Rattus norvegicus: one gene and its partners. The protein of the gene in region 2 purifies or fractionates together with the protein of the main gene of each other region. This does not show direct contact. Links are inferred from orthologs where the notes say so. Each region holds a gene or a part of one and is shown on either strand. Other genes may lie near its edges. The genes, in order: Tssc4, Aar2, Snrnp200, Prpf6, Znhit2, Ddx23 and Eapp.

Region 1 (4,330 bases), on a different chromosome or scaffold from region 2:
CCTCTCCAGCAGGGGAAGTTTTCTCATGTCCTACCTAAAACTTTCACCAGCTAAGACTGGACAGCTGGAACTGGCCAAGTCCCACATGGGATACCATCTGCCTGGATGGGGCTACTTACGTCTAGCCTGTCTTACCCTGAGTTCCAAAGAGGCCAACCTCTTAAACACTAGAGGTTTCCTTCTTGTCCTCTGATTCATCCATCAGCCGACCAGCTTCTAGAGGGCAGGACTCAGATCTACTGTAATCAGCTCCCATCCTTCAGCCCCCACAGCATAATTTGTGTGATTGTCCTGGCACAAACCCCAAGATACTGCTCAAGGGTACCCAATGCTATTTTACTTTCTATAAAGCCTGTAGACCACCTCAACTAAGCTAAACTGGACCACAGGGGTGGCTAAACCAACATTTCAAACACCTGGGGAACATGGAGTTATCTGACCCAATGAACAGCATCTCTGTTCCTTCTACTACTTCTCAAATTAAATGACCACCCAGGTCCTTTCTAGGCGAACTACAGAGACTGGGGCAGACCCGGTGCTTAGCAGGCCAGGCTGGCTAACTTGGTCCAAGTCCCTGGCCTCCACATGAAATACTCACTCGTGCATCCTTCTCCTCCTCCCTGGCCCAGCTTCAGCTGAAGGATCTAGCATCAGCTGTGTCTTATACAGAGGTCACAAGTCCTGGAGACATACAGCCCGGACACCAACCATTTGCTGGCTCACAACTTATCCTCTTCCTAGAACCCGTGGTCTGTGCGGGCCCAGTGCTGGGGCTGCACTGGTTTCTGGGGGGCAGGGGGACCATATTATGCTCATCCAGTACCATCAGGGGCACAAGGCTGAACACAGCTACGAGCCCACTCCCTCTGGGTAGGTTACCAGTGACAAACATCAATGCCCATGGCAAACCTTCACAGCGGTCCTCACTAGAGCGGGGAAGGCAGGATGAGGCTGGTAGAGATGCAGTCCTGTAGTTAGCTGCCCAGGACTGTTTGGACATAACTCTTGAGTGGGGCCGAGAAAAATTCACGAAATTCAGTAAATACTCAAAACCTTTATTATTCACCCCAAACAATGGGGCACAAAGGCCTTCAAGGTCCCCTGACCCACAATTCCCAGTCTCTGCCAGAGTTGAGGCCCACACATCCCTACTACAGAGAGCCCACACTGTCCCACCTGGACTGGGCAGGTGAGGAGGTAGAGCGATGGCACTGCAGTCAAACTGAGGGTCCTCTCTCAGACCCTGGCCCCTCCGGGTTACTATCCCTGTTCCGGAAGTGGTCTCTGCTCCGCTTCTTGCTGCCATGGAAACCAACAGTTTTCATACCTATGGGGCCTGATGAGGACTCAGGACGGGCAGCTTCTGAAGGCACTACCACCTCTGGCTGTCCCTGGTGGCCACTCCATTCCTCAGCCTCAGGCCCGGCGAGATGGGCTAGCTCCACTGAGGCCTCACCCCCTGCACCTGACACAACCCCCTTCTTTAGGACCCTCTTCCTCTCAGCCCTAGCCTCGCTGCCCCGCACTGGTTTGGTGAAGACCACTCTTCCCTCCCCACAGCTAGAGGGGTCCTGGTTGAAAAAGGGCACATAGTCTGTGGGGGATGCCTGGCTTCGAGAGCTCAGGAAGGCCAGGGCAGCATCACGATTGCTCTGCTCACTGGTTTCAGACACATCTTCCAGACTGTATTTGGTCCAACGCTCAGGGTGTGACACATAGTCAGGGACAGGGTGTACCCTGGTCGGGTCAGTGTTCCCATGCACTCTGCTCAAGCTTCTTGCTGGAGTCTGACTTGGGGGAGCCACAGGCCGCTTGAAGCTGCAATTGTCAACCACACTGGTTTGGGGAGCAGAGCACGGTTCCTGCCGGGCTGCACTCTCCAGACAATCAAAGATGCTGTGGCTCCGCTGGGAGAAAGTGGAGCTCATGCCTCGGAGGTGGAACGGCTGCACTGCAGTGGTGGGAATGCCCGTGGGGTGCGAGGGAGGGTCATCAGGGCCCGAGTCCTCCTGGCTCTCCCCAGAAAGCCTCTCTGGGGACAACGCTTGGACCTCCACACCACTAGGTAAGCTGAGGTCAGAGTCCGAGTCGCTGAGGGAGACGGTGTCAGAAGGCAGGGTGTCATCCTCGGTGGGTTCCTCAACCTCCAAGCCGGCCTCTGTCTCCGCCATAAGACCTGACATCCGTCCCACCTGTAGCAAGGCAGTCCCAGTTCTGCCGTGAGGGGTGTACCTAATGCCGCACCCCTCCCCGCCCTCCCGGGCTCTTTCACCTCCACTGTGTGCCAGGCGCCTCTACTCACAACCGGACCGGAGGCCTCGCGAAGCTGGGTGGCTAAAGGGTATCCTAGCGTGCACAGATGTGGAGCTGCAGGTTAGGTGGGGTTAAGGAGAGAGTCAACCATGAGATCATAACAGTGTGGACATACAATAGATGAGCGCTGGGAGATGCTGGTGACAGGGGATCTCCATCAGCGGCTCGTCCCATCACGAGCTCTTAGCAAAGCGCAGCCTCTCTGGGCACACACTGAAGGCACCACCCGGGGTCCGGAGGGGGAGGTGGCAGAAACAGGCACGGTACTGGCCTGGTCGCGGCCCTAGGGAGGCCAGTGCTCACCGTTCCAGCATCCGTACACGCTTCAATAACCTGCCACCTTTCCCGCAGCGTCCCGCCAGTTCCACGGGATTCCGGCCTGTTCAATCTCGCTTGGATTCCTGGGAAACCGAGTCTCGGGCTATCAGAATATTGTGGCTTCAGCGCCCGAGAAACTACAACTCCCAGAAGGCAATGGGGTCACTGCCTAATGCCTGCCGGGACTTGTAACATGTGTGCCATCCCGAAGACCGGAGCGCACACGGAAATCCACCCAGAAATGACGAAAGGGGAAAAGGCGGAGCCGTGATTCCCACAATACTCTAGGGTTAACTGCCAATCGCAAAGGGTTGAGGCTTCTAGCGTCGTCCGTCGGAAGCCACCTGGGCCGGGTCCGACACGAGGAAGTGCGTCACTACGCACTGCGAGCTACAACCAGTTTCCCAGACACTTCCGGCCCTGGGCGGAAGTGGTGCGGGTCTTGTGCTTTGTTGGCTTTCTGGAGTTGGGCGGGACCAAGGTCCTGGTTGGCTCTTGGCGTATAGAGACGTGGTGGTCCTTGTAATGGGTTGGTTGGGGCTTCATAGATTCGAGGCCGTTACCGTGGGCACTGCCTGTCTGTGCTTCCTGACACAGGCACGGACGGACGCTTTAGGTGCTGGACGCTGACCCTACTATTCAAGGCCACACATAATCCTCCTCCAGGCCTGGGACTGTTTTCTTGCATCCTTAGACACCAGAGTCTGAGGATCCACTGGGCTGCTGCATTCTCTCCTCCTTTACTATGTTCTTGAAGCTGTGCAACAGGCTTCCAACAGCCTTGGCCTGGTGCCCATGGGCCTCACAACATAGAATATAAAGGTTCCCTCAGAAGCCAGCCAAGCATGGAACAGGTTGCCCTGGCGTGGTGGGTGGAGGTGGCTGAGACCTAGAATGCCCTAGTACAAGCTTGGGGTTCACCGACAAATCAGCCTACTGCTGGGACCTGAATCTTAGCCAGGACTTCTCCTCTCTAGTGGCCAATTAACCCAGCAGCCTGGGGGAGGGGTGCAGACAGGAGTCAAAGAGAAAGACAGTGGTGGTTGCCCCTTGTGTCCAGGAGGTTGCTTTAGCCTGATCCTCAGTTCACAGGGGTGAGCTCAGCGGACTGCCTTTTATTTCTTGAGACACAAGCTAGAACCATCCAGCTCAGTGGAATATTTCCAACACCTAGATACCTGAGATGGGGTAATGGTCTAACCTTTACTGTCTTGTCCCTCAAAAGGAAAGTGTTCTTGCAGTTTATCCCCAACATTCTGTGCTGGATTCCCCTGCCTTGTGGCTCCTCCTACCCGACTCAGCCGACCTGGCATTCCCAACAGATGAGTGGAAATGAGGTCAAGGCTGGTGTTAGGTCAGCATTGAGCTCCCAGTACAGGGAGGTACAGAAGTGAGGGAGTACTCAACATGGAGTGCTCCCAGGGTCCCAGCCCTCCCCACCCACTGTGTTCCACAGGCTCTATTGGACCTGCTCACCCTGTACCTGGCAAAGTTCAGAGCTGACGAGCCAGGTCTCTGACACCACTGGCACAGGAAGAGGTCTGGCAGTCCCATTAGCATGCCTGATTTTTTCCTCCTTTATTAAATGACTGTTTCAAGATTTAATTACAGTTGAAGGTGACACGTTAGAAAGAATAAGTGCATTGAAGGCATAAGAGTGCTTACAAACCCAGCTCTTGAAATGGAGGCAGGAAAGGGA
Region 2 (4,846 bases):
AACTAGAACAATGCAAAAGTCATCTTAAGCTACAATTCTACCTAAAACCTGCTACTGGAGAATACCATAAGATCTGTCAAAGACGACCAAATCAAACTGGCTACCTAATTTCCCATGAGCATCTAAAGTTAACAAAAAGTCTGAGGTGTGGAGGAGAGCTTTTCAAACTCCCTTCTTTCACTCATCAACAACCTCGTTGAAAATGAGGGAGAAGAAAGGGCTGGTTTCCTAGTTTAAAGACAACATGGCAGGGTGCAGTGGTACACACCTGTATTCCCAACCCTTGCTGGACCGAGGCAGAGAAATCGGGAGTTCAAGATCACCCTTGATTGCTAGAGACTGTCTCAAAAATCAAACAATGAAGGGTTGGGGATTTAGCTTAGTGGTAGAGCGCTTGTCTAGCAAGCGCAAGGCCCTGGGTTCGGTCCTCAGCTCCGGAAAAAAAAAAAAAATCAAACAATGAAAACAAGCAGCTGGTGGGAAGACAGTTAACTGAGTACAGTGATTGTCCATTGCACACAAAGGATCCTTGCACACGCGCGCGCACACACACACACACACACACACATCTGTGAGAGAGGCAGAGGCAGGAGGATCAGACGTTAAAGTCATTCTCAGCTACACAGTGAATTGGAAGCCAGACTGCGATATGTACACAAGACACTGTCTTAAAAACAAGCAAGTAATCACAAAACAAAACCACCTAAAGTCCAGGGATCAAACAGTTTCCCACAGAGCCACAATTCATCCAGAGAAGACTGACATGGCAGGTCTACAATATTTGAGGAGAGGCTTAGATTCTTTATTTTATCCACATTTAAATTCCTTATAAAGACCCTTTGGTTAAAAACAAAGGCATCAGGGGTTGCTGGCAAATACTCAGTGAGTAAGGGCATTTGCCTTTTAAGCCTGACAACCTCACTTCGATGGCCAGATACTATAAAGTAGAAGGAGAAAAGAGAACCCACAAAGTTGTCTAACCTTCACATGCTTGCCCCAGCATATGACCCACCACCCCATCATTCACTCACATGCACACAATGTAAAACACAATTGTGTAGCAGACGCTGTCTCTGCAGTATTTGTAAGAATGTTTTCAGCATGAACCAATTTAAGCCAATCAACTATTCCGACTTTTACTAAATTGAGTAGGAAGTCACTCACCAGTCCAACAGACACACACTCAGATTACAGGCACTGTGCGGGATTGTTACTGGGCCCTAAAAGAAATATTCGGGGCTGGGGATTTAGCTCAGTGGTAGAGCGCTTGCCTAGGAAGCGCAAGGCCCTGGGTTCGGTCCCCAGCTCCGAAAAAAAGAACCAAAAAAAAAAAAAAAAAGAAAAAAAAAAAGAAATATTCACAGAATAAGACCACTGAAAAACAGATGTTTGTGTTTTACAGAGGTGGCCTCAAAATTAACAATCAGGAAAATCAAGTGTGTCTTGCTGTTGTTTTTTTAATTTTTAAAAAAGATTTATTTTTTTTTTTTAAAGATTTATTTATTTATTATATATAAGTACACTGTAGCTGTCTTCAGACACACCAGAAGAGGGCATCGGATCTCTTTACAGATGGTTGTGAGCCACCATGTGGTTGCTGGGAATTGAACTCATGACCTCTGGAAGAGCAGTCGGGTGCTCTTAACCGCTGAGCCATCTCTCCAGCCCTAAAAAAGATTTATTTAATTATTATAAATACACTGTAGCAGTCTTCAGACACACCAGAAGAGGACATCAAATCTCATTACAGATGGTTGTGAGCCACCATGTGGTTGCTGGGATTTGAACTCAGGACCTCTGGAAAAGCAGTCAGTGCTCTTAACCACTGAGCCATCTCTCCAGCCCCTATTCTTTTATTTAAAACAAACAAACAAACAAACAAAAATCCTTTTACAAAAAATATGGGCTGGATGCCCTCTTCTAGTGTGTCTGAAGATAGCTTCAGTGTACTCATAAATACAATAAATCTTTAAAAAAATATTAGGCGTACACTTTATTGTCTTTACCTTAAAAACAAACAAACAGAAGAAAGGTCTCTAAATCAGCACTCTTTTTCAAACTGCAAGACATAACTTGAGTTAAGAAATCATTTTTAGACATAAAGCTAATCTGAAATAATGGAAAAAGTTATACAGAAAGCAGAAGAGGATGCTGAATTCCCTGAAACTGGAGTTAGAGGTAGTTTTAGCACCATAAAGGTGGTAGGAACTGAGTCCAAATTCTCTGGAAGAGCAGGCAAGTCACTTAACCACCAAGTCATCTCTCCAGCACTGAGAAGAGAAGTTTTAAGCCATCAAAATGCCACAAGGAACAAGGATAGGACTGGTTCCATGAAGGCCTGTGCCTCTATGCGTGGTCACTGCATAAAAGTCTTGTGCCTGTAGTTCAGTCAAAAAAAGTCTGGAACATACAAATGGGATGCATTCTTCACAACCCTGCAATACAGAAAGACACCTCCTCAGCCTATTCACCAACTCCCAAGAGCAAGAGTCCTTGGTCCTCAATGCCTTCTCTATCTGGCTTTAGGGAACATAAAATTCTTACTATGGCCCGAAAATGCTACAAGAATTACTTTTGGCAATTCTTCAGCTTACTTAATACCACCCCAATCCGACGACTGTTCCAACCACACTGGCTTCTTTCTGACCCTCAAACCAGAGAAAACTCTACCCACAGCATTTTGTCAAACTTTTTTTTTTTTTCTAATCTTGTAAAGCCTCCTCGACCCAGGACTAAGTCAAAAGTTCCGTGATTATACTCTGGATACCTTGAAGCCTTTCAATTCCAGTGACTGGTGTGTAACTTTGTGTACTTGATTGAAGACTGTCATGCCTCCAGAACTCGAGTCCTAGGTCCCTAGCGTATGCACGAAGCTTAAAACTTACTTACTACAATATACATTTAAATAAAGCCAGGAAGCCAGGTGGGTGACTTACAGGAAGCCACGCAGAACCAGCTCCAGTGAGTATACGATCTCTGGTTCCCAAGATCTACAGTTAAAAGGGGGGAAAAGTTACTTCGTGAGCCCCAGAGAGCCTGACCATGGTGTCCCTGGAGATGGGTTTTCAGAAATAAAGGCCTCCCGAGACACCAGATCACAAATTCAGACTCCGCCGGCGCGATTCTGAGACAAGAAACGAGGTGACCCGATCACATTTAACGAAACCAAAGGACGAAAGGAGCACCAAGAGCTGACACTCACCGTATTACCTCACGTTCGGGCTCCGCGGAAACTGGACGGAAGTTCGGCTGCTTTGGAGCCGGATAGGTGCTACAGAAAAAGTAGTCCGGCGGAGTCCCCGGTCTCAGAAGAAATGGCCCGTGCTTCCAGGTTCCTCACGATAAAGCACTGCCATTTTCTTCTTACTGGTTCATTTAACTTCCCGAATTGTGAATAACGATTTTAATTAAACTATACACTTTATATCCCCGTCCAGAAACATACTCAACCAGCTGCAGTCCTTTGGTCTCAAGCAGACACGGACTAGCCAAAGCATGGTCCAGGTGTTGGCACACAGTCGTGGTTTGTCACACTTCAGCCACATTTACTATGCCAGTCACCATGTCAGAAGTTCCCTATTACCTCCAAGTCTCCCTAGTTTCAGAACCAAGGCTGTTGCCTAAAGAGAGAAGCAGTTCTTTCAACAGCCACCACAGCAGTTCCTCCAGCAGTGACCACCCAGTGTTTTCTAGGCCTTACGGAATACAACAGTCAAGCTCTAAATCGCGCACTGAGTGAGGAATCCTGCCTGTCTTTTTCCTCTCGATTTCCTTAGAACCTAGCACATAGCCCTCATCGATGTACTGTGCATTTAATAACAAAGCAAATAATGTGGTATAATAAATGACTATTTGTGGGCCTAGCCTTGTGCTGGGTGGTTCTGTGCATCAGAATTCACCAAGAACCAGAGCCACTGGGGGATATATAGACACTACTTCTAATCTTTTCACTAATCCTAGCCAATGTGGGACCCTCCTCTAATCTTGTATTTCCAACTCTACCTACCTGATTATAAGCTTGTTTATCTGTAAAGACCGGATTTTCAAAGGCCTTCAATCAATCTCTTCTTCAGGTGACTTTACCAAGACTGGCTGTATCTACAATGACTGACAGAACAGAGGACGACCTCCATCTTCATTATCGAGCCTCTTTTTTTTTTTTTTTTTATAAATTTATTTTTTAAGATTTTATTTTATTGTATGAGTACACTGTAGCTGCCTTCAGACACACCAGAAGAGGGCATCAGATCTCATTACAGATGGTTGTGAGCCACCATGTGGTTGCTGGGATTTGAACTCAGGACCTCAGGAAGAGCAGTCGGTGCTCTTAACCACTGAGCCATCTCTCCAGCCCCCATTATCGAGCCTCTTAAGATGCCTACCTCCAGCACCATGACAGTTGTCAATGGCGAGAAACCATAAAAGCTGTATCCAAATCCTTGCCATCCCTAGAAAGGATGAGTCCCTCCGCCCCCTTTACTGGTCTCATTTTTTTTTCACCATACCTGCATATCTCTAACCTTCAGTTGGTCAAGGGTTTGATCTGAGTTTATTTCCCATTTCTGTCCCTTACCAAGACCAAGTCTCCCTTGCCAATAGATGTGTCCACACTTTTTACTGGTGCTAAAATTCTGAGACAGTGACCCAGTATAGGGATGAAAACTTGGCAATTAGTATTCTCAATTCACAGAAGAGAAAACTGAGCTTCACAGAGGGACTACAGACTCAGAGAGTACAGGGATCAGATGCAAAAAAAAAAAAAACAACCAAACAAACAAACAAAAACAAAAACAAAAACAAAAAAACTTGATAAAACCAGCTGGAGTTCTGGCCCCTGTGCTGCTGC
Region 3 (4,139 bases), about 31 Mb from region 2:
TTGGCTAACAGAGGACCTATGAAGATGTACTCACAGGAAAGCAGATTGTGAGCCAGAAATGTAGACACCATGGTTAGTTTGCATAATCTCAGTTGTGGACTGTTCTTAAAGAGCATCATGTTCAACAATTAGCACTTGCTAAATAAATTGCTATGAGCAAGGAAATTTGTGTCAGGTTGTCCTAATTAAAACTACTAATTAACAGCTAGGCTGTGGTGGCACATGCCTTTAATCCCAGCACTCAGGAGGCAGAGGCCAGGTAGAGGTGGATCTCAGTGAGTCTGAGGCCAGCCTCTGGTCTAATGAGTTGGTCCCAGCTACACACACACACACACACACACACACACACACACACACACACACACACACACACACACACCTCTGTCTGGAAGGAAAAAAGGAAGGAAGGAAGGAAGGAAGGGAGGGAGGGAGGGAGGGGGTAAGGAAAGGAGAGGGTGGGGAGGGAAAGAGAGGGGGAGGGGAAAGGGGTGGAGAGAGAGAGAGAGAGAGAGAGAGAGAGAGAGAATAAAAACTCTCTACCAATTAACTATTCTGTAGGAAGTAGCATTTTGTTTTACTAAAACAGAAACTGAGGCAAAATGGTCTGCCCAAGATACAGGCTAAAACTCAAGATTCCTTGGCTCTCAGTTCAGTGCTCATCCTGACTCCAGTCAGGATACATCTTCTCTTCCTGTCACAGGAAAACATTTCAGGACTGGCACTTTCTTTTTCAGAAAACAAACTCACTCTAAAGTAACTACTTTTTAAAAAAAAATTATTTAGAAACATTTCATTATGTAGCCCAGCTGGCCTTAACCTCCTGATTGTTGGGATCGTAGGCACTGTGTTACCATTCCTGGTTCAACTTTTCTTTTTCAATTGTCCTACTAGTCCTATTTACTTATTATCTAGAAGTGGAGAGCTTTAACCCCAGGAGCTGCTACAACTGCTAGACAGCCAAGTACAACTACATCCATACTCCTAGAATATGCTTTCTTTTGAAACTAGCTATTAGCACACAGTACTAAAGCCATGGTAAATTACTATAACATGGTTAAAACACTCACTATAGCAGGACACATCCTCACTAAAGACATGATTTATCTTTTTTCCTTTGATTAAATGTGTTCTGACAATTTCATACATGTACACAATGCATACCGTTTTCTTACTGCCACTCTCGTCATCATCGCCCCTACCCCCACCCCCACCCCATGGAGCCTCCTCTTCCCTACACGTCTATTTCTCACATTCCTGCCCACTTGTGTCATTTGTGACCCACTGAATTTAACCATCAGAAACCAGAAGGTCAGAAGTGGTTACAGGACTGAAGATAATGACTTCCTTTTCATAATCTATCAATAACCAATAGTTAGGCAGCAAGGAGAAGGGACTCCTCCCCAATCCCTGACAGGGTCAGACTTGAACAGGACAACAGTAAGTAAGTGTAGCTGTTTGAGTCCATGATTGCAATAACTGTGCCTACAGGATAGCATTTCTCAGTCCTTCTTCCTAGTTTCCCAGGTCTGTCTGGTTTATTATAAACTGTCATTTACACCTACTAGTTTAAATTAGCTTCTAAACCAGAACCATAACTTTTTAAGCAGAATAATACCAAATTTGTAAGTCTACCACAAAACACTGTAAACGTTATTTAGCTAGGAATTTCAGTTTATGAGAAGAGCTCCCACTACCTTGGTAATATCACAAAACAAAACAGAAGGGAACCATTTAAAGCCACTCACCTCCTCATCAGACTCAAACTGCACATTCACGCCATAAGTCTCATCAATGTTGTCATCTGAGGTGATGTGGAATTACAAAAAGAGGGCAGTGGTTAGTATGGAGGAGACACTCAAGACCATTTCCTCAGCAGCCTGGCTTGCTTATTGATTCTCAGGCCAGAACACAGACTTAATCAACATGAAAAACAGCACCAAGGCCTCTCGAACCTGCCAACCTGGATTCTACTCTGCTCTGCTTCTTCAGCTCCTAAACCCTCCCTGCTCTCTCTCACTGCCTGTGTAGTAAGTCTCAATTTAAAAATGGCTGCCAGGGCTGGAGAGGTAAGTCAGCTACTAAAGGATAAGGCTCACAACCAAACGTCAAGAGATGACTATCCTCTTTATTGTTCTTAGATGGGTTTTGCTAAGGAACCCTGGCAGCTGGAACTTGCTATGCAGACTAGGCTGACTTGTTGGGATAAGCCTGTCCGAAAGGCCTGCAGATTAGCCATTTTCTTTAAGCAACACAACATAAGTTATGGAAACAATGTTATTCTAAAAGTTTAACAATGACGCTGAGTACTCAACAGAAAGGCCAACAACCACAAAACATGATTAGGACACAAGCAGCTCAGGTACCCATATTCTGGATCTCCTTGTCGCCACCATAGTCTGTGATCTTCTTGCCCAAGTTTACTAACACATGGTATCTCGTATCATCTGTCTGACCCAGCAGCAAGTCAATCTCCCTTCTTCTCTCCTTGTCTCGAAGCTTTTCATTTTTCAGAACAGCCAGAACTTCATCGGCTGCCCCACAAAGAATATCTCGAGGCTGAAGAAAAAACACAGACAACATGTTCAACAATAATATGCAGAAGGACACTGACCGCCTTTGTGACAATAGAAAGTAAAGCAGTATATATCTTCAAAACTACAGGAGCTGGAGATGTGGCTCAAAAGGGTACTTGCTGCTCTTGCAGAGGACCTGGGTTCAATTCCCAGAACCCACATGATGGCTCGAAGAAAAAAAAACATCAAATCACAACTCAACTTCCAGGAGATCTGAAGCCTTCTTCTGATCACCAAGAGACCAGGGATATGTAGTGTACATACATACATGTAGGCAAAACAGTCATACACATAAGAGGCAAGCAAGCGAATCTGCAGCATCCTAGGCTTTGGACATTCATGAACAGGACACAGTGGCACATGCCTGTAATCCTAGCACATGGGAAGCAGCAACAAGACCAAAGTTCAAAGTCATTCTTAAATACGCAGTGTGATGTCAGCTTGAGCTATGGGAAACCTTGTCTCACACGGCAAACAAAATAAAACTCCAAGACTAGAGGAGCTGCTGAGGATTTAACACAGTGTTGCCACATGTGCTTAAAATTCATGAGATCCTGGAGTCAGTCTGAGCACTTGGGGGTGGGGGTGATAGGTAGGTGTATTCAGAAGCAGAATATAACTTTCACAATAGCTTGCCACACATCTCCAGGTGAAAGAGGCACTCAGCAGCCTTCTTATGTCCTGTCACACTTTCACTATTCTTTGTTCACACATTCCCTATTCCTCAGCTCGCTAGAGAACTCATAAAGGCTCTCAGTCTAATCAGAAATGTGCAAAGGTTCAGAGCACATTTGGGGTATGGACCACTTGGATTCACATTCTGACAAATGCTATCTCCTTGACTTTAGTATCTCACATCTCTCTTTTATTACATTGAAAATGAGTGTTAATGGCACCCATTTATAGTTAACATGCTGACCTATGTATACTATGCTAAGTGCTAGTTTCTACAAAATGGTATTGCCCTTCCCATCCTGCTGGGAAAATCCAAAGATTCTTCTGATTGGACTAGCAAGATAGCTCCTCAGGTAAGGGCACTTCCACCAAGCCCAACTGTTTGATTCCTGAGTCCCCCACAAAGACAGGAACAACAATGAAAGTTGTCCTGACTTTCGTATGCACATATGTACACACACACACACACACACACACACACACACACAAACACACACACACAGTAATAAAGATATGTAATTAATATTCAGTCAAAACTCCTTGGGGTTGGGGATTTAGCTCAGTGGTAGAGCGCTTGCCTAGCAAGCGCAAGGCCCTGGGTTCGGTCCCCAGCTCCGAAAAAAAGAAAAGAAAAAAAAAAAAAAAAAAAAAAAAAAAAAAACTCCTCTATGCCCTTCCTCTTTCCTCCTCGGTGGCCTCACCTGATCCCCGAGAGCAGCCTGGATGAAACTGAGCAGCACCTCATAGGTCTCCCGGGTCTCCTTCGTCTTGGGCTTATAGATGATGCCCACCATCTCATCAATGCCCTCTGACAGCAGAGTATAGCCTTTCATCTTGTTGATGTCGTGTCGGTCCTCATCACGTTTTCTCCTCCTAAAGGACAGAAAACAT
Region 4 (4,139 bases), about 24 Mb from region 2:
CGAATACTTGTTTCAGTCTTTATAGATATATTCTCAGAAGTTTAATTACTGGCATAATAGTAGCTAAAATTTTTAGGCACAGCGAGAATGGCATCCGTAGTAGTTGTCTTATTTTACAGCTCAGACTGTACCAGGGTTCTAGAGTCTCCTCAGTTTTCCCAACTTTTATTTTGTGTTTTTTTTTTTTTTTTTCGTGTCTCTGTGTTTGTGCCTCTGTGTATATGCTATGTGTCCAGGTGCCCATAGATGCCAGAAGCTTTGATCCTCCCAGTCCTGGAATTAACAGGCTGTTAGGATTCTCCTGACCTGGGTTCTGGGAACTGAACTCAGGTCCTCTGGAGAAGCAGAAAGCACTTTTAACTGCTGAGCTTTCTCTCTAGCTCAATATTCTCTGTGTATATGTGTGTGTATACATAGGCATTTGTGTGCGTGCGTGTGTGTGTGTGTGTGTGTGTGTGTGTGTGTGTAAGCCAGACATCAGCTTTGGGTGTCTTTTATTCTCTTACCTTATTTGTTTGTTTTTTTTTTTTTTTTTAAGTTGGCAAATAAAACAGAATGCCCCTGCACATGTTCTTCTTGGTATTTTTGTTATTTTATTTGAGACATGATTTGGCATGTTATTGGCTGTCCTGATCTATGTAGACCAGGCTAGTCTTGAACTTGTAATCATTTGCTTGCCTCTGACTGCCAAGTGCTGGTATAAGCTACTGTACCTAGCTTTCTGGAGGAAAGGAAGATAGTCTCGTGTAGCCTAGCTGGCTTCACACAAAGTGTGTAGCCAAGGATGGCCTGATCCTTCCACCATGATCTTCAAAGTGCTTGGATGCTAGGCGTGCACTTCCATACCAGTCACTAGAAAAACAACGCTTTTTCTCCTGTTCCCCTTTTTCTGTGCTCTGTGTTTGTTAACCTGTCTTTTCTTAAAGAGTGTTGGATAGTGTGCTGGTACACCCGTAATTTCAGTACTTAGGAAGCTGAGGCAGGAGCATCACCTTGAGCCTGAATCCAGCTTGGGTTATAATATGAGATTCTGTCTTTTAAAAACATTTTTAAAACCTTCAGCCGGCGGTTTGGGGAGACGAACCTTCCACCTTAGACCATGGCCAGGTTCATCCATAACTTCGCAGAGAAGGTACCATTGATGGTGGCCGCTGCCTGACTTACTCGAAGCCTTGATTGGCCACACTTTGGCACTACGCCAAGGTTGAGCTAGTTCCCCCAACCCCTGGTGAAATCCCTACAGCTATTCAGAGCGTGTAATTCAAAGTGCTAAAACTGGTAGCTTCAACCACCTTACAGTTAAGGAAGCTGTGCGAAATGGTTTGGTGGCCACTGAGGTGTGGATGTGGTTTTACATTGGAGGGCTAGGATGAAAGCCGTGCTTCACCTTGGCCGGCTTCTTTTTAGTTTTTTTTTTTTTTTTAAGATTTATTCATTTATTATATATAAGTACACTGTAGCTGTCTTCAGACACACCAGAAGAGGGCACCAGATCTCTTTACAGATGGTTGTGAGCCACCATGTGGTTGCTGGGACTTGAACTCATGACCTCTGGAAGAGCAGTCGGGTGCTCTTAACCGCTGAGCCACCTCTCCAGCCCTTCTTTTTAGTTTTTAATTTTGGAAACTGATACTCAGTAAATTGTCTAGGCCAGTCTGGAACTCATTCTGTAGCCAGGTAAGCCTTGAACTTTGGTCATTCCTGCCTTAGCCTTCCAAGTAGCTGGGATTACTGGTCCGTGCTATCAGACACGGCTTATTATGGCAATTTAAAAATTTATGATTAAGGGGCTGGGGATTTAGCTCAGTGGTAGAGCGCTTGCCTAGGAAGCGCAAGGCCCTGGGTTCGGTCCCCAGCTCCGAAAAAAAGAACCAAAAAAAAAAAAATTTATGATTAAAATAGTAGAATGAGCTTTTAATTCCAGCACTTGGGGAGGCAGAGGAAGGTGGATCTCTTGAGTTCAGGGTTAGCCTGGGCTACAGAATGAGTTCCAGGACAGCCAGGGCTACACAAGAAATCATGTCTCAAAAAAGAAAAAGATTAGTACAATGAACTTCCATATTGAAATTTAAAAAAAAAAAGTTGAAATTACCAGCCTTTTACTTAAGACTTTCTGGACTTAGGTCCGTCTTAAAAAGACATTTTTTTAAAATATGTTTTCTTGAAATTTCTTTTCATGGAACTTTTAGGATCAGTATCTCTATGTGTCTTGGTTACTTTTATTTTCTCTTTTCATTTCTTAGAAGAGAGACACTCTAGAGTGGCCAAGTTTTTTGAAATCTCAAAGCCCACCTCCAGTGGCACATCCTCTCCAACAGGGCTACACTCCCTAAGCCTTTCCAAATTGTTTCACCTACTGGGGACCAAGTATTTGTATATGAGCCTATGGGAGCCATACTTAAGTGTTCTGAACTGCTGAGCTGTCTCTCCTGCTTCAGCCTCTAGGTTTTCTATTGATTTATCACTTTCAGTGATGCCGAAATTAATCCCGCAACATTAATCCTTGTAGAAGATTTCTACACTTTTCATGTAGAAGACATTTTCTCATCACTAACTGTTGTTTGAGTCACAGTAAGATTGTTTTTTCCTGACTGCTTTTCATGAGATTTGTCGGGTGGGCCTTCAGGGTTGTTGGTAATTCGTTGTTTTAAACATTGCTGGTCATGACTAGCTCATTCTCCCCTTTACCTATCTCACAGGTATCTGACTCAGTGAGTGGGCAGACTGTTGTGGACCCCAAAGGCTATCTGACGGACCTAAACTCTATGATCCCAACCCATGGTGGCGATATAAAGTGAGTATGCTGCAGAATTGATGGGTTGAAATGGGAACTTTAATTGCTTACTATGTTGTGGAGTTTTTTTTTTAAAGAATATACAGTCAACCCCAAAAGTACAACAATGCCAAGCAACCAGAGCTTCCAGGGACTAAGCCACTACCTAAAGACTATACATGGACTGACCCTGGACTCTGACCCCATAGGTAGCAATGAATATCCTAGTAAGAGCACCAGTGGAAGGGGAAGCCCTGGGTCCTGCTAAGACTGAACCCCCAGTGAACTAGTCTATGGGGGGAGGGTTGGGAGGGGAACACCCATAAGGAAGGAGAGGGGGGAGGGGGATGTTTGCCCGGAAACCGGGAAAGGGAATAACACTCGAAATGTATATAAGAAATACTCAAGTTAATAAAAAAAAAAAAAAAAAAAAGAATATACAGTCAAAATATGACATGGATGTTCTGAGAAATTAGAAGTGTATTTGTGTTCTTTTACTATGTATATTAAATATTTTACAAATAATAAGGTCAATGCCTGTGGTGAGCTAGAAAGCAGCTTGTAGATTGTCTGGTGTTTCCTGTCTGGATATTCAGGCTTCAGTTTGTTTACTCAGTGCCCCCGTAGAGTAGCTCTTTTGGATTTTATGTCTTCAGCATGTTTCCCTTAGCAATTTATTCTGTGTCTTAAGGGGATGCCTTCTCCCAGGCTCTTGCCACACCCTCTAATAGTGTGGCCTGATTTTTTGTGCCTTTTGACCTTTACAGTGACATCAAGAAAGCACGACTACTTCTTAAATCTGTTCGAGAAACAAACCCTCATCATCCACCAGCCTGGATTGCGTCAGCTCGCCTGGAAGAAGTCACTGGAAAGTTACAAGTGGCTCGAAACCTTATTATGAAAGGGACAGAGATGTGCCCCAAGGTAAAGCCATAGCAGCATATTCTCTCGACAGCTGCATGTGCCCATACTAGAGTCAGAGCAAGGTTATGAACAGAAGGAAAGGAAAGTCTTTACGACTTTTGTGTGGAGCAGAGGCTGGCCTAACATAATGGCAGGGTCAGCATCACTGAAAGTGATAAACCTGGCAGCTTGTCAGGTCACACAATATAGAAAACCTAGAGTTGACTCAGAAGAGATGGCTCAGCGGTTGAGAGCATGGGCTCGTCTTCTAGAGGACCTAGACTTGATTTCCAGGTGCCATAGGGCAGCTCACAGCTGCCTGTCATCCAGTTCCAGGGGATCTGATGCCCTCTTCTGGATATGCATCCAAGCAAAACACCTGTATGCATCAAATAAGAATAAGTAAATCGGAAAAAAAAACAAAAAACAAAACAACAACAAAACACAGATTAGTGCTGTCTCT
Region 5 (3,663 bases), on a different chromosome or scaffold from region 2:
ACTTCTACCTGCTCTACTTCACTGCACTGCTGGTGCACCGCGAGGCCCGAGATGAGCAGCAGTGCCTGCGAAAGTATGGCCGTGCCTGGCAGGAATACTGCAAGCGCGTGCCTTACCGAATCATACCGTATGTCTACTGAAGCAGAACCAGTTCTACTCGGCAGGGATGCTCAGCACGTTGAAAACAAGAACGTTGAAAGCAAGAGGGAGCCACTGCTCCCAGAAGGAAATTTTTCCCTGTTGAATAAATGTTTTCAACCTTTGCTGTTTTTCTTCTATCCTGGGGTCAGTGACTTGAGGCTTGGGGATGACTAGCTGACTAATGAAAGCTTAAAAGTGGTTTGTGGGTCCAAAAGCCTGAGTGAGACAATTGGTTACCCTCAGAAAGGGGCACTTCAGGCCTGGGGATGTAGTTCAGTTATAGAGTGCCTGTGTAGCACACAGGAAGCCTTTGCTATCCAGCACTGCATATCCGCAAGGTAGCTAACACCTGTAACCTCCCACTGTCGGGGTGGGAAGCAGATCAGAAGTTCAAGGTCATCTTCAACTATACAGTAACTTCAAAAGAAGCTTACGACAGGGCACCATCTATAAAGAAAGGCACTGCCAACATTTGGGCAGAGCAGACACATCTTTATTAATGTAATGACATGGATGCCCAGCTCAGCCAGGAAGCTCCTCAATGAGAATCCTTGGTGCAGGTGGTACTGGGCCTCCCCAAAGCCGTTCTAGCTCCCCAGTAAGGGTTGCCATCTCCTCAACTGTCACAGCATGGGCTCGGTGGGCTCTGGCACAGTCTAGAGCCAGGGGTGTGAGAGCAGCCTCGTTTTCATTGGTCCAAGCCAGCAGGAACTGGCACTTCTTCCGAGCCCGGTAAAGGCGATCTCGCTCTTCACCAACCACAGCCTGTTTCCGGGCTCGACCCAGGGTCTGAGCCAGGTGCCCCAATGCTATCAGCGTGTAGCCTTTCTGATTGATAGGACCCTCGCCCAGAAGGATTCGGGCAACTTCCTGCATAGCACCCCGTGTACCCAGGGGCCCAGGTGGGTGCTCGCCCGCTTCCAGAACGTGGGCTGCGGCCTGCAGGGCTTCCTCTGTAGAGTGAAAGACTTGCTGGGTTCCCAGGGCCCCAGAAACATCGAGCAGAGTAGCACAGAAGTCAGAGAGTAGCGCGTCGTCGTCCCCTCCATGATATAGGGCGAGAGTGTGAGCATAGGCGAACAGCACATTGGGCAGCTGGAAGCGCACCAGTGGCGAGGTAGGGCTGCGGCTCAGACTGGCCAGTGCTGGGATGCGGGCAGGCATTGCGGGCGGTCTGGCGACACTGGAGTCTTCAGCAAGTGGCTCCCCAGCGGCAGCGGCATCATCCACGGACTCCAACCCGGTCCTCGCAGGGAGTAGCTCCGGCTCCGCAAGATCTCTACTCGCGTCATCATCCAGCTCCTCCAGAAAACGTGGGCCGGTGCCGCGGCCCCACCACCAGGGCCGCCACGGAGGCAGGAGGCGTCCGGCTTCGCCACGGCTCAGTAGCCGCTCGAATGCCGCCTTCTCAGCCGGCGCTAAACGTTCCCAAAGTCCAGAAAGACCGCCCGGCCGCGTGCCGGGCCGGAGGCCTGTTTCCTCGGGCTCATCCTCGGCCTCGCGTTGTTCACGCAGCCGGCGTAATGCGCCCGCCAGACGACTGGGCGAAGCGTTTCGGCCGCGGAGCTCTCTTAGCACTTGGTCGCGGTAAAAGTCTTCGGCGCAGGCGCCGTGAGCCCGGTAGCAGCGGAGCGAGCAGTAGGGAGCGTTGCAGCGAGGGCAGGTGTAGCGCGCTGGTACCGCTTCCCCGGCCGGGCAGAAGCCGCAGAGCCCCGCGGGCTCCATGGAAACTGGTGCCGCTTGTCCTGTACCAGTTCCGCCACTTCCGGCGCTTCTTTGGTTATTTCCGCTTTTGTGTGCGTGGAGGGCGGGGGAAGCTTCCTTTCGGCACATTTCTGGGACTTCTCAGTAACTCTCCAGAGTAGCTCGTTGGGCAAGCGTAGAAGTCGCCCAAGCTCTTCCCAACACGTTGGCTCGCCGAATTCTGAAAAACTGTGTCGCTAATCCCAGTTTGTTCTTTGTGGTTGTACCAAATTGTGCAAAAATAAACTATCTTTTAAATAACAAAACCAAGCACCACCACCAAACAAAAAACACCAGGGTCTTAGCAGGGCGTAGCTGTTCTCACCTTTAATTCCAGCACCGGGTTGTCAAAGGTAGGCTGATTTCTGTGAGTTCATGTGCATCCCAGGATAGTCAGAGCTACATAGTGATGCCCTATCTTGGAAACAAACAAACAAGGCCAGCAAAATATTACTAACAACAACAGACAAAAATAAATGAATAGGGGGCTGGAGAGATAGCTTGGTGGTTAAGATACACTGACTGCGGGGTTGGGGATTTAGCTCAGTGGTAGAGCGCTTGCCTAGGAAGCGCAAAGCCCTGGGTTCGGTCCCCAGCTCCGAAACAAAGAACAAAAAAACAAACAAACAAACAAAAAAACACTGACTGCTCTTCCAGAGGTCCTGAGTTCAATTCCCACATGGTGAGCAAACCACATGGTGGCTCACAGCCATCTGTAATGGGATCTGATGCCCTCTTCTGGTGCGTCTGAAGACTACAGAGTACTCATATACATAAAATAAATTTAAAAAAATAAATAAACCAGGCATTTTTAACAAATCTGGAGCTCAAAATACATAACAGGCAAGCATATCAAATTAAGGCCAGCCTGGGCCTACCTGAGACCCTGTCTCAAATAACAAAAGCACAGCAAAGCAATACAAATAGGGAAAACATCCCTCCGACGGTATTGAAATTGTTTGCATTGTTAAATATTATGAGGCCTATTGAGAGGTAGGCCTTAGTGGATTATCTGGAGGGTATGCCTGTGACGGAAATACTGTATTAGTGTCCAGTCATACTGGAAAATGGACCAACACAAACCAGAAAGCTATCTGGCAAAGCCTGTAGAATCTGTACCTTCAATGACCACTTGTCACATTGTCAAATTTCTGTAGTTCAGATCAGCTCTCCTTTTCAGTCTCATTAATCACATCTCTTAGACGTCTGTAACCTTCTAAGGATTTCTTTGCTTTTTTTTTTTTTTTTTTTTTTTTGCTTCCTGAGACAAGGTCTGAAGCTCAGGCTGCCCTCAAACTACCTGTATAGCAGGGGATGCTTTTGAATTTATCTTCCTGCCTCCACCTCTCCAGTACTGGAATGACAGGAGGCACACACTAAGCTTTTTCTAGGGACATTCTTCTGAAAACAATGCCAATTCCCCACCCCAGTACAGCACCACACTTAACTATTTTTTTTTTTATTGGATATTTTTAAGTTTCAAATGTTATCCTCTTTTCCGGTATTTTAAGTTAAAAGTTCCTGTCTATCCCTGGCTGTTCTGGAACTCACTCTGTAGACCAGATTGTCCTCAAACTCAGAGGCCTCCCTGCCTGGGATTGAGTGCTGGGATTCAAGTCCACTACAGCCCAGCCATGGCTAATTTTCATTGTGTAGCTATGGTTTAACTATGTAGACCACTGATCTCAAACTCAGATCCATCTGTCTCCCCTGTGCTATTCCTGGCTCAATCTCTAGTTTTGTACTACTTTTTCTCTACAGAGTCTGAGTAGGTTATGA
Region 6 (4,139 bases), on a different chromosome or scaffold from region 2:
CAGCTGAACCCACCCAGCGAGCAAGGGAAGCAGGGAGTACATGTTGGCTCAAGTGTGGTTCCACACAAAAGCAGGAGAGACACTGCCATCCTGCTCCCTCCATCCCTCCCGTGCAGATAAACAACTATGTGAGAAGCTAGGCCTTCCTTTCACTTAGCCAATGCTGCGGGCCTGACTTGTTTCCCAGAGAGGAGGGCGGAGCCAGGGGCTGACACACTTTAATATTCATGTATTTATTCTCAGAACATACAAACTTATCTTCTCAGAGAATAGAAAACAAATTACTGACTTAAACTCCGAGGGGCGGGGAGAGGAGGGATGCCCAGAGTGCACAGCACCCGTGGCACAGAGGTTGTGTGGCACAGGGCTGCGCAGTTCTAAGGGCGCTCAACCTGCTTTAAACTCCGAATGGGAAACCAGTTGTCAGAGTGACAGAGTCCAAGGTCCACAATCCTCATGATGCCAGATCCCCTGGGTCACTCAGGGCAACTACTGCTGTACAGTCACACAGGTGTGCTGAGGAAGTCCCCTCCAGGTGACCAGGTGTTTGTTCAGGCTGGAGATCGTGCTAGGCAGCTGCCCCATAGCGTGCTGCTCCTGCCTCCTACAGCCCTTCCTGTTCCCTTGGAGCCCACCTCACAGGCTCCAAACCAGGGACTCTGGCTGCTTCCTAAGACCCATGAGCCAAGGACAAGAGCCTGGAGGGGTCATGAGGGCTTAGGACAGGCACCAGTTTCAGAGCATGGCTTCAAATCCACTCAGGTGCTGTGTCAGGCAAAGATGGTCTCTTCCCTGCGCTTCTTGGTAAGGATGGTGCCTGGCTTGTGCTGGGCATCTGGGTGGTTTGCCAGCTCTGGAGGGCAAGAGGACACTGGGCTCTCCAGGATGGCTTGCTTCAGTTCATAGAACACGGCTGAGTCCTCTTTGGTGAGGAAGGTGATGGCTACACCACTCTTGCCTGCTCTTCCTGTGCGGCCAATTCGGTGAATGTAATCTAGGGAGCAGAAGAATGTCACTCGGGACCAAGTCAGATGTCCTGGTGCGTGGTGCCCACTCTTAAAGGAACCCTCTGCCCCACAGACCTCCATGGGCAAGCCATCCACCTCCTGCTGTCTACACCCGGTGAATCCAGAGTGCCCTCCACTCTGCCCATCCCCCACTCCACTGCCTACTTGTCGCACAGCAACACTAACGCTCTCCCAGCCAGAGCCAATCTTTACACACCATGAAGTGTCATCCTAGACACTGGGACGTCGCCCCAGACTCAAGCAGAGTTTTCGGTGCACCCTGACTCTGAGAGGGACAATGTAAGTGGCCTCTCTCCTAACCCTGAAGTGAAGCTACCCCTGCAGGCCTCACCTTCAATGTTTTTGGCCATGTCGTAGTTGACAACCATAGATACGTCTTGGATATCGATACCACGACCAGCCACATCTGTAGCCACCAGAATATCCTTGGCTCCAGCCTTGAGGTTGGACAATGCGAATTCTCGCTGCTCCTGGCCTTTGCCACCATGCAGTGTACAGGCGTTGTACTGTAGGGTAGAAAGCACTAGGCTCAGGGAGAGGGAGCAGAAACAGGGAGGGGGGAGAGCAGGCGATGCTAGAGGAGAGCGGATGATGCTAGGGGAGAGCATAGAAGCCAGAGAAGTTCAGTGAAGTGAGGAAAGAACACAGGAACTAGAGCAAGAATGAACAAAAACATGGCGTCCTGTTGGGGGCAGGCAGGATAGGGACTGAGGCCCAGGAGTGTGCTGAGATGAGGAGCCAGGCAGACGACAGGTTCTAAGGGAGAATCAGGTAAAGGAATGGGGAGGTAACAGGCTAGGAAGGCTACGGACATGAGGAGCTGAGTGCTGAGGACACCCCTTACCTGGTGAGCAGTACAGGCCTGGTCATCAGCACCCCTCCCCCACCCTCATAGGGCTCCAGCCTCACACTGGCCCCACCCGTCTGGCTGCCGGACTAGAAGGGAATCCTAGTAACTGACCAGTTCTCCTCCCTTTCTCAAGCCATGCACTAGTTTCTGTAGCCCTGGTTTGTTAGATGTGTAAAGATTAAAGAGCGAGTGGGAGCCACATCCCCATCCATCCCTAGCTTCAGAGAGCTGCAGCGCTGGCTTTGCTCTGCCTGCCAGACATACCCCCATCTTCTCCAGAGACTTGGCCAACACGTCGCAACCCTTCTTCTGGTTGACAAAGATGATGATGGGTGGATCAAAACCTTGTTCCAGGATTGCCAGCAGCTTTTTCCTGGGGGAGGGGGAGGAGAATAAGGTACACATACCACCCAGACTCAGTAACCCCAACACTCAAGCCCAGCAACTGACAAACCCAAGGTCCTCAACAGAGACCTTGCAAAGGAGGAAACAGCAAGGCAACCACCCCACAGCCGCCCTACGCAGGTCTCCCAGATCAGCCCCGCCCATACCTCTTTTCTGACTCCGACATGAGAAAGACCTTCTGTTCCACCCGCTCATGGGGCTTGCCTGCAGAGCCAATGTACACCACAGCAGGCCGCCGAAGATAGCTCCTGGCTAGACGCTCCACCGCTGGAGGCATGGTAGCCGTGAACATGACTGTCTATAAAACAGGAGGTTCAGCTCGGGCCCAGGCAGATGAACTACATACCCTACTGTCAGCCCAAGCAGCCCGACTCAGGCTAAGACATTAATCTAACACTGCTACCCTGGGAAACAGTGTTCTTTGCCTTTCGTCTCACACTAGGAAGGACCGGGAGCATTTGCTACCACCTGGATCCAAGTAGCATCATGATTCCTCACATCAGGTCATCATCACCATGATCATTACAGGTTTTTCAAGACAGGGTTTCTCTGCAGCCCTGGCTGTCCTTGAACTCACTCTGTAGTCCAGGCTGGCCTCAGATTCAGATCCCCCTGCCTCTGCCTCCCACAGGCTGGACTAAAGGTGTGCCAGTGCCCAGCTTGTCTACTTTTCTTCTTTTAATGCCCCAGTGCTCTCTGTATTACACCTCCACACCAGAAGAGGGCATCAGACCCCCTTCTAGATGCTCACAAGCCACCATGCGCTTGCTGGGAACTTCCCTCCTGAGCTGGCTCATCAGCCCTCAGTCCTTACTTTTGTTTAGCTCTTTTGAGACAGGATCTTGCTGTGCACATCTGCCTGGCCTGGAACTCACATCTAAGACAACCTAGCCTCAGTCTTGGGCAATCTTCCTGCCTCCTCCCGAGTGCTGGGGCTTTAGCCATGAGTCACTATGCCTGGCACCTTTTTCTTCTGCACCACAAGCATGCTGGAAGCATGTACAGTAGTGTTAGCGTGCTGGAAGCGTGTGCACTGGGCCCTCCCTAGGCAAGGAAGGTTGAAAACAAGACTTGGGAACTGGTTCAAGTTCTCCCAAGAAAGCTGCCTACTTGACGGTACTTGTGTTTTCCTGATTCAAAGTTGGCTAACATCTTCTCGGGGTCCTCGGCCTCGTCCGTGTCCGGCTTCTGGTTGCTGACAGGCATGTGCTCCAGGATCTTCTGCACATCTGGCTCGAAGCCCATGTCAATCATCCTGTCGGCCTCATCCAGAACCACATAGGTGCAGCGGCTGAGCACCAGGTAACGGTTCTCCAGCACGTCAATCAGACGTCCTGGGGTGGCGATCACAATCTGGAAGGATCAGTGTAACCATGTATGGCTTTAGCAGACAACTCACCTGTTTCTTTTCTCTGCTATGAACTATCTACCCACTTAGGCAACAGACCTTCAATGCTAAGGAACTTGACCCTCAACCTCCAGCCAGATTTGGTACTTAAGGTCCCAGAGAATGGACCTGAAACTATCTGCTACCTTCAGTTTCCTTCAGGAATAAATGGGGTTTCTAAATAACATCCAGGGGGTTGGGGATTTAGCTCAGTGGTAGAGCGCTTGCCTAGGAAGCGCAAGGCCCTGGGTTCGGTCCCCAGCTCCGAAAAAAAAAAAAAAAAAAAAGAACTAAATAACATCCAGGGTTAGACAGATGGCAGAATCATGAGGAACTAGCTTAGATGGAAAAACACTAGGGAGCACTGTGGAAGGAGAGAGGGCGGGGAGCACTGTGGAAGGAGAGAGGGCGGGGAGCACTGTGGAAGGAGAGGCCGGGGAGCACTGTGGAAGGAGAGAGGCCGGGGAGC
Region 7 (4,139 bases), on a different chromosome or scaffold from region 2:
TTATAACAAAGAATTACCACAAGCTTCCACCACACTCCTCCTAGGTTTGTAACAAAAGCAGAAGTGGGGGCTCAAGCCAGTACGTGCACATCAGTGTTGACAACACTATTCCTGACAGTCAAAAGGCAGACAGAACAAACTTCTCCTGGTGGACACACATACGATGACATTGTGCAGCCATAAGAAGAAGTACTGTGCTACAGTGTGGACAAACTCAGAAGCATTTTGTTCTTGGGCCTGCAAGGTGACACGAGTCGTTAACCCCAGTACTTGGGATTACAAAACAAGAGCAAAGAACCACTTGGGAGGCAGAGGTGGACGGATCTCTGCATATTCAAAGCCAGCCTGGTCAGCAGAGTTCTAGGATAGCTAAAAATAAAATTAACAATTTAGATACTAAAACCCTAAACTCAAAATGATTTAAAACTATAAAATAAACATAGTAGTGTACAGTCATAATTCCAGCACTTGGGAGGCTGAGGCAGAATAGCCCTGGGACTTCAAGGTCAGTCTAGGAGAAACCTTATCCCAACAAACAAACAAAAAAACTTTAAAAAAAAGTTTAGCGTATCTATTTGGAAAAAGTTAATTTTCAAAGACCAATAAAACCAACCAACCAACTACTGAAACTTTAGTTTTATAACAGTCCCTGCTTCCCAGGTGGCTGAGGTAGGAGGACTACAAATTCCAGGTCCACTGGGCTACAGAGTAATCAAACCTTGTTTTAAAAAGCAACATGAGGGTTAAGGATGCACCTCAGTGACATCGCTTGCCCAGCATACTCAAGAGCCTAAATTCAATCTTAGTACCAGAGAGTAGGGGCAAGAGGAAAGGCCAGGCATGATGGCACAGCACACACCTACAATCCCAGCACTTAGGTTGAGGCAGGGCTGCTGTAAGTTAGCCAAGGCAGCATACATAAGGAGAACATAACAAGACCCTGTCTCACAAGAACAATAAAAACGTTCTTTTATTTCTTAAATGAAGAAACTCTTAACAGTTTAGACTCATTAATAACGCAACAATTAATTGCTGTGGTGACACACCTGAAACTTCAGACAGCATTTGGAAAGTAGAGGCAAGAGTTTAAGGCCAGCCCCAAGAACATATTAAGGTTTGAAGCCAGTCTGGGTTACACGATAATCTTTTTAAAAACAAATAAAAATTCAGCCAGGTGGTGGTGGCGCACACCTTTGATCCCAGCACTAAAGAGGCAGAGGGAGTTCAAGGCCAGCCCGGTCTATAGAGCAAATTCCAGGACAGCCACGACTACATAGAGAGATCTTGTCTCAAAAACAGAGAGACAGATAAAAACTGTTTAACTAAAATTTGCTGGTTATTTTCATATAAAATATTCAAGGTTTTTTTTTTTAATTTTTAAAAAAGATTTATTTTATATGAGTACACTGTAGCTGTCTTCAGACACACCAGAAGAGGGCATTAGATCCCATTACAGATGGTTGTGAGCCACCATGTGGCTGCTGGGAATTGAACTCAGGACTTCTGGAAGAGCAGCCAGTGCTCTTAACCACTGAACTATCTCTCCAGCCCAAGTATTCAAGTTTCAATCCTCGAACTTTTTTGATGTATTTGTATGAAAACAAAGACACATACAGTCAAACAGGAAAGCAATGAAAAATAACTCTGGCTTTCTCTAAAGATTCTAAATATAGACTTAAATTCTTACCCCCTCCTCTTTGCATCTACCCAGGCCTGGTCTCTGCTATCTTTCTCGGGATCATAGAGCAGCTCATCGTTTGTTGGAATCCTGTGTTGTTTCTTCTTCTTCTTCTTGGTCACTTGTGTTAGTTAGAAAGGTTAAGAACATGGATCAGTATCATGTCTAAAGTTTACACTTCTTAATATCAAATGACTCTCCTGTTTCCCATACTATCTATTTATTCTATTATATTATGTTTTTAAAAGTTGCCTAAATGGGAGGGAGTTACCGGAAGGGGGTCAGTGAGCAGGATATAAAGTAAGTAAAAAATTAAACTAAAAATAAGAAAAGAAAAAGATGCCTAAAGCCTTTCTTTAGCAGTCTCAACACTTGGAAAGTTGAAGCGGGAGAACTGCCATGCCTGGGTTACGCAGTGCATTCCGGATACCCTGACAACAAAAGTAAAACCCTATCCCCAAAACAATGCATAAAATTAAATAAAGCTATTCTTCCAATAAGAGTCTTGTCCGGGGTTGGGGATTTAGCTCAGTGGTAGAGCGCTTGCCTAGCAAGCGCAAGGCCCTGGGTTCAGTCCCCAGCTCCGAAAAAAAAAAAAAAAAAGAAAAAAAAAGAAGAGTTGTCCAATTAAGACACTAAAACAGGGCTGGAGAGATGGCTCAGCGGTTAAGAGCACCCGACTGCTCTTCCAGAAGTCATGAGTTCAATTCCCAGCAACCACATGGTGGCTCACAACCATCTGTAAAGAGATCTGGTGCCCTCTTCTGGTGTATCTGAAGGCAGCTACAGTGTACTTATATATAATAAATGAATAAATCTTAAAAAAAAAAAAAAAGACACTAAAACAAAAGATAAAGGAGGCCAAAAAGCTAAGTTCAAATAATAAAAAACAAAACCCACTTAAAACCAACTGGGCATGCTGACACATGTCTACAATCCCAGTGCCTGAGATAGAGGAAGTTGAATCATGAGTTCAAGGTCATCCTTGGCTACATACAAAGTTTGAGACCAGCTTAGCTTGTATGAGACCCTGTCAAGAACAAAAGGGAGGGGGTTGGGGATTTAGCTCAGTGGTAGAGCGCTTGCCTAGGAAGCGCAAGGCCCTGGGTTCGGTCCCCAGCTCCAAAAAAAAAAGAACAAAAAAAAAAAAAAAAAAAAAAAAAAAGAACAAAAGGGAGGAAGGTGAGACTGCTCGAAAGTCTAACAATCTGAGTTCAGTCCCTGGGACTCACGTGGTGGCAGGAGAGAAATGACTCTCACAAGTTGTCTTCTACAGCCGTATGTGACTTGTAAAATGAGCTCTCATAAATACACACATATACAGAATAATTTTTGATTAAGAAAAAAAAAAACAATGCTAAGAATGTGATTTGGGTCTTGTGTAGGCAGAGCTGGCCTCAACTCGCTAGGTAGCCTAGGATAATTCTATGCTTCTGATACCCCAGCCTTCACCTCCCAAGTGCTTGAATTACAGGTGCATCCACACTGGGATCACATCTGGGGCTTTGTGTACACCATGCAAGCAATTCTGTAAACTGAGCTCCATCCTTAGTCCTATGAATTACTTTCCGCATAGAAGATCACCACAAGTTCTCAAACATAAATCATTACTAAACCAGACAATGGCAGCTCACATCTGTAATCCTAACATTTGCAAAGCAGAAGCATGAGAACTGCCATGAATGTGAGGCCAGATGTGCTGCACAGTAAGTTTCCAGTCAGACAGGGCTATACTCCAAGACCATCTCTCAAATAAATACTAAAATCAGAACAAAATAATATTTAAAAACCAATGGTAATTCTTTTAAGGTTTATTTTATATATATGAGTGTATGTTAAGTACACTGTATAAATGCCTAGTGCCTGCTGAAGCCAAAACAGGGACCCAGGTCCTCTGGAACTGGAGTTATATACGGATAGCTGTAGGGGCAAGGTGAGCTCTAGAAGTGGAGTTATATATGGATAGCTGTAGGGGCAAGGTGAGTTCTGGAACTGAACCAGGACCCTCTGCAACAATAGCAGGTGCCCTTATCCTCTGGGCACAACCTGTGGTTGTGACCCCTTCGGAGGTTGAAGGACACTTTCACAGGGGTTGCCAATGGCCATCAGAAAACACAGATATTTACATTACAATTCACAACAGTAGCAAAATTAGTCATGAAGTAACAACAAAAATAAATTTTACCATTGGGGATTGCCACACATGAGGATTAAAACGTCGGGGTTGGGGATTTGGCTCAGTGGTAGAGCACTTGCCTAGCAAGCGCAAAGGCCCTGGGTTCCGTCCCCAGCTCCGAAAAAAAAAAAAAAAACTGTAAAAAAAAAAAAAAGTCTCAGTATTGGGGTTGGGGATTTAGCTCAGTGGTAGAGCCCTTACCTAGCAACCGCAAGGCCCTGGGTTCGGTCCCCAGCTCCGAAAAAAAGAAAAGAAAAAAAAAAAAAGTCTCAGTATTTTCCTGTG

The links.
Region 1: the proteins of Aar2 (region 2) and Tssc4 purify together in Homo sapiens (affinity purification with mass spectrometry; 3 studies listed by BioGRID and IntAct, counting the BioPlex papers as one, with this or other methods). This does not show direct contact. The link is inferred for Rattus norvegicus from reciprocal best matches to the Homo sapiens genes AAR2 and TSSC4.
Region 3: the proteins of Aar2 (region 2) and Snrnp200 purify together in Homo sapiens (affinity purification with mass spectrometry; 5 studies listed by BioGRID and IntAct, counting the BioPlex papers as one, with this or other methods). This does not show direct contact. The link is inferred for Rattus norvegicus from reciprocal best matches to the Homo sapiens genes AAR2 and SNRNP200.
Region 4: the proteins of Aar2 (region 2) and Prpf6 purify together in Homo sapiens (affinity purification with mass spectrometry; 3 studies listed by BioGRID and IntAct, with this or other methods). This does not show direct contact. The link is inferred for Rattus norvegicus from reciprocal best matches to the Homo sapiens genes AAR2 and PRPF6.
Region 5: the proteins of Aar2 (region 2) and Znhit2 purify together in Homo sapiens (affinity purification with mass spectrometry; 3 studies listed by BioGRID and IntAct, counting the BioPlex papers as one, with this or other methods). This does not show direct contact. The link is inferred for Rattus norvegicus from reciprocal best matches to the Homo sapiens genes AAR2 and ZNHIT2.
Region 6: the proteins of Aar2 (region 2) and Ddx23 purify together in Homo sapiens (affinity purification with mass spectrometry; 3 studies listed by BioGRID and IntAct, counting the BioPlex papers as one, with this or other methods). This does not show direct contact. The link is inferred for Rattus norvegicus from reciprocal best matches to the Homo sapiens genes AAR2 and DDX23.
Region 7: the proteins of Aar2 (region 2) and Eapp purify together in Homo sapiens (affinity purification with mass spectrometry; 4 studies listed by BioGRID and IntAct, counting the BioPlex papers as one, with this or other methods). This does not show direct contact. The link is inferred for Rattus norvegicus from reciprocal best matches to the Homo sapiens genes AAR2 and EAPP.

The regions. Positions count from the first base shown.
Region 1 is NC_086019.1:207,680,949-207,685,278, reverse strand, and holds Tssc4 (U5 small nuclear ribonucleoprotein TSSC4), read right to left. Parts: upstream 2,735-4,330; 5' UTR 2,617-2,734; intron 2,368-2,616; 5' UTR 2,303-2,367; exon of another isoform or gene 2,193-2,302; 5' UTR 2,184-2,192; coding exon 1,218-2,183; 3' UTR 1,035-1,217; downstream 1-1,034. UniProt on the Homo sapiens protein: Protein associated with the U5 snRNP, during its maturation and its post-splicing recycling and which is required for spliceosomal tri-snRNP complex assembly in the nucleus.
Region 2 is NC_086021.1:165,515,949-165,520,794, reverse strand, and holds the start of Aar2 (protein AAR2 homolog), read right to left. Parts: upstream 3,272-4,846; 5' UTR 2,937-3,271; exon of another isoform or gene 2,831-2,936; coding exon of another isoform or gene 2,768-2,830; intron 1-2,767. UniProt on the Homo sapiens protein: Component of the U5 snRNP complex that is required for spliceosome assembly and for pre-mRNA splicing.
Region 3 is NC_086021.1:134,884,659-134,888,797, reverse strand, and holds part of Snrnp200 (U5 small nuclear ribonucleoprotein 200 kDa helicase), read right to left. Parts: intron 4,122-4,139; coding exon 3,950-4,121; intron 2,557-3,949; coding exon 2,364-2,556; intron 1,802-2,363; coding exon 1,746-1,801; intron 1-1,745. UniProt on the Homo sapiens protein: Catalyzes the ATP-dependent unwinding of U4/U6 RNA duplices, an essential step in the assembly of a catalytically active spliceosome. Plays a role in pre-mRNA splicing as a core component of precatalytic, catalytic and postcatalytic spliceosomal complexes.
Region 4 is NC_086021.1:189,114,955-189,119,093, forward strand, and holds part of Prpf6 (pre-mRNA-processing factor 6), read left to right. Parts: intron 1-2,699; coding exon 2,700-2,794; intron 2,795-3,540; coding exon 3,541-3,697; intron 3,698-4,139. UniProt on the Homo sapiens protein: Involved in pre-mRNA splicing as component of the U4/U6-U5 tri-snRNP complex, one of the building blocks of the spliceosome.
Region 5 is NC_086019.1:212,781,817-212,785,479, reverse strand, and holds Znhit2 (zinc finger HIT domain-containing protein 2), read right to left. Parts: upstream 1,897-3,663; 5' UTR 1,867-1,896; coding exon 664-1,866; 3' UTR 615-663; downstream 1-614. Other genes in the region: delta(14)-sterol reductase TM7SF2, read left to right, coding at 1-140. UniProt on the Homo sapiens protein: May act as a bridging factor mediating the interaction between the R2TP/Prefoldin-like (R2TP/PFDL) complex and U5 small nuclear ribonucleoprotein (U5 snRNP).
Region 6 is NC_086025.1:131,676,422-131,680,560, forward strand, and holds the end of Ddx23 (probable ATP-dependent RNA helicase DDX23), read right to left. Parts: intron 3,637-4,139; coding exon 3,394-3,636; intron 2,582-3,393; coding exon 2,430-2,581; intron 2,252-2,429; coding exon 2,143-2,251; intron 1,535-2,142; coding exon 1,360-1,534; intron 995-1,359; coding exon 771-994; 3' UTR 215-770; downstream 1-214. UniProt on the Homo sapiens protein: Involved in pre-mRNA splicing and its phosphorylated form (by SRPK2) is required for spliceosomal B complex formation.
Region 7 is NC_086024.1:77,915,299-77,919,437, forward strand, and holds part of Eapp (E2F-associated phosphoprotein), read right to left. Parts: intron 1,800-4,139; coding exon 1,688-1,799; intron 1,681-1,687; exon of another isoform or gene 1-1,680. UniProt on the Homo sapiens protein: May play an important role in the fine-tuning of both major E2F1 activities, the regulation of the cell-cycle and the induction of apoptosis. Promotes S-phase entry, and inhibits p14(ARP) expression.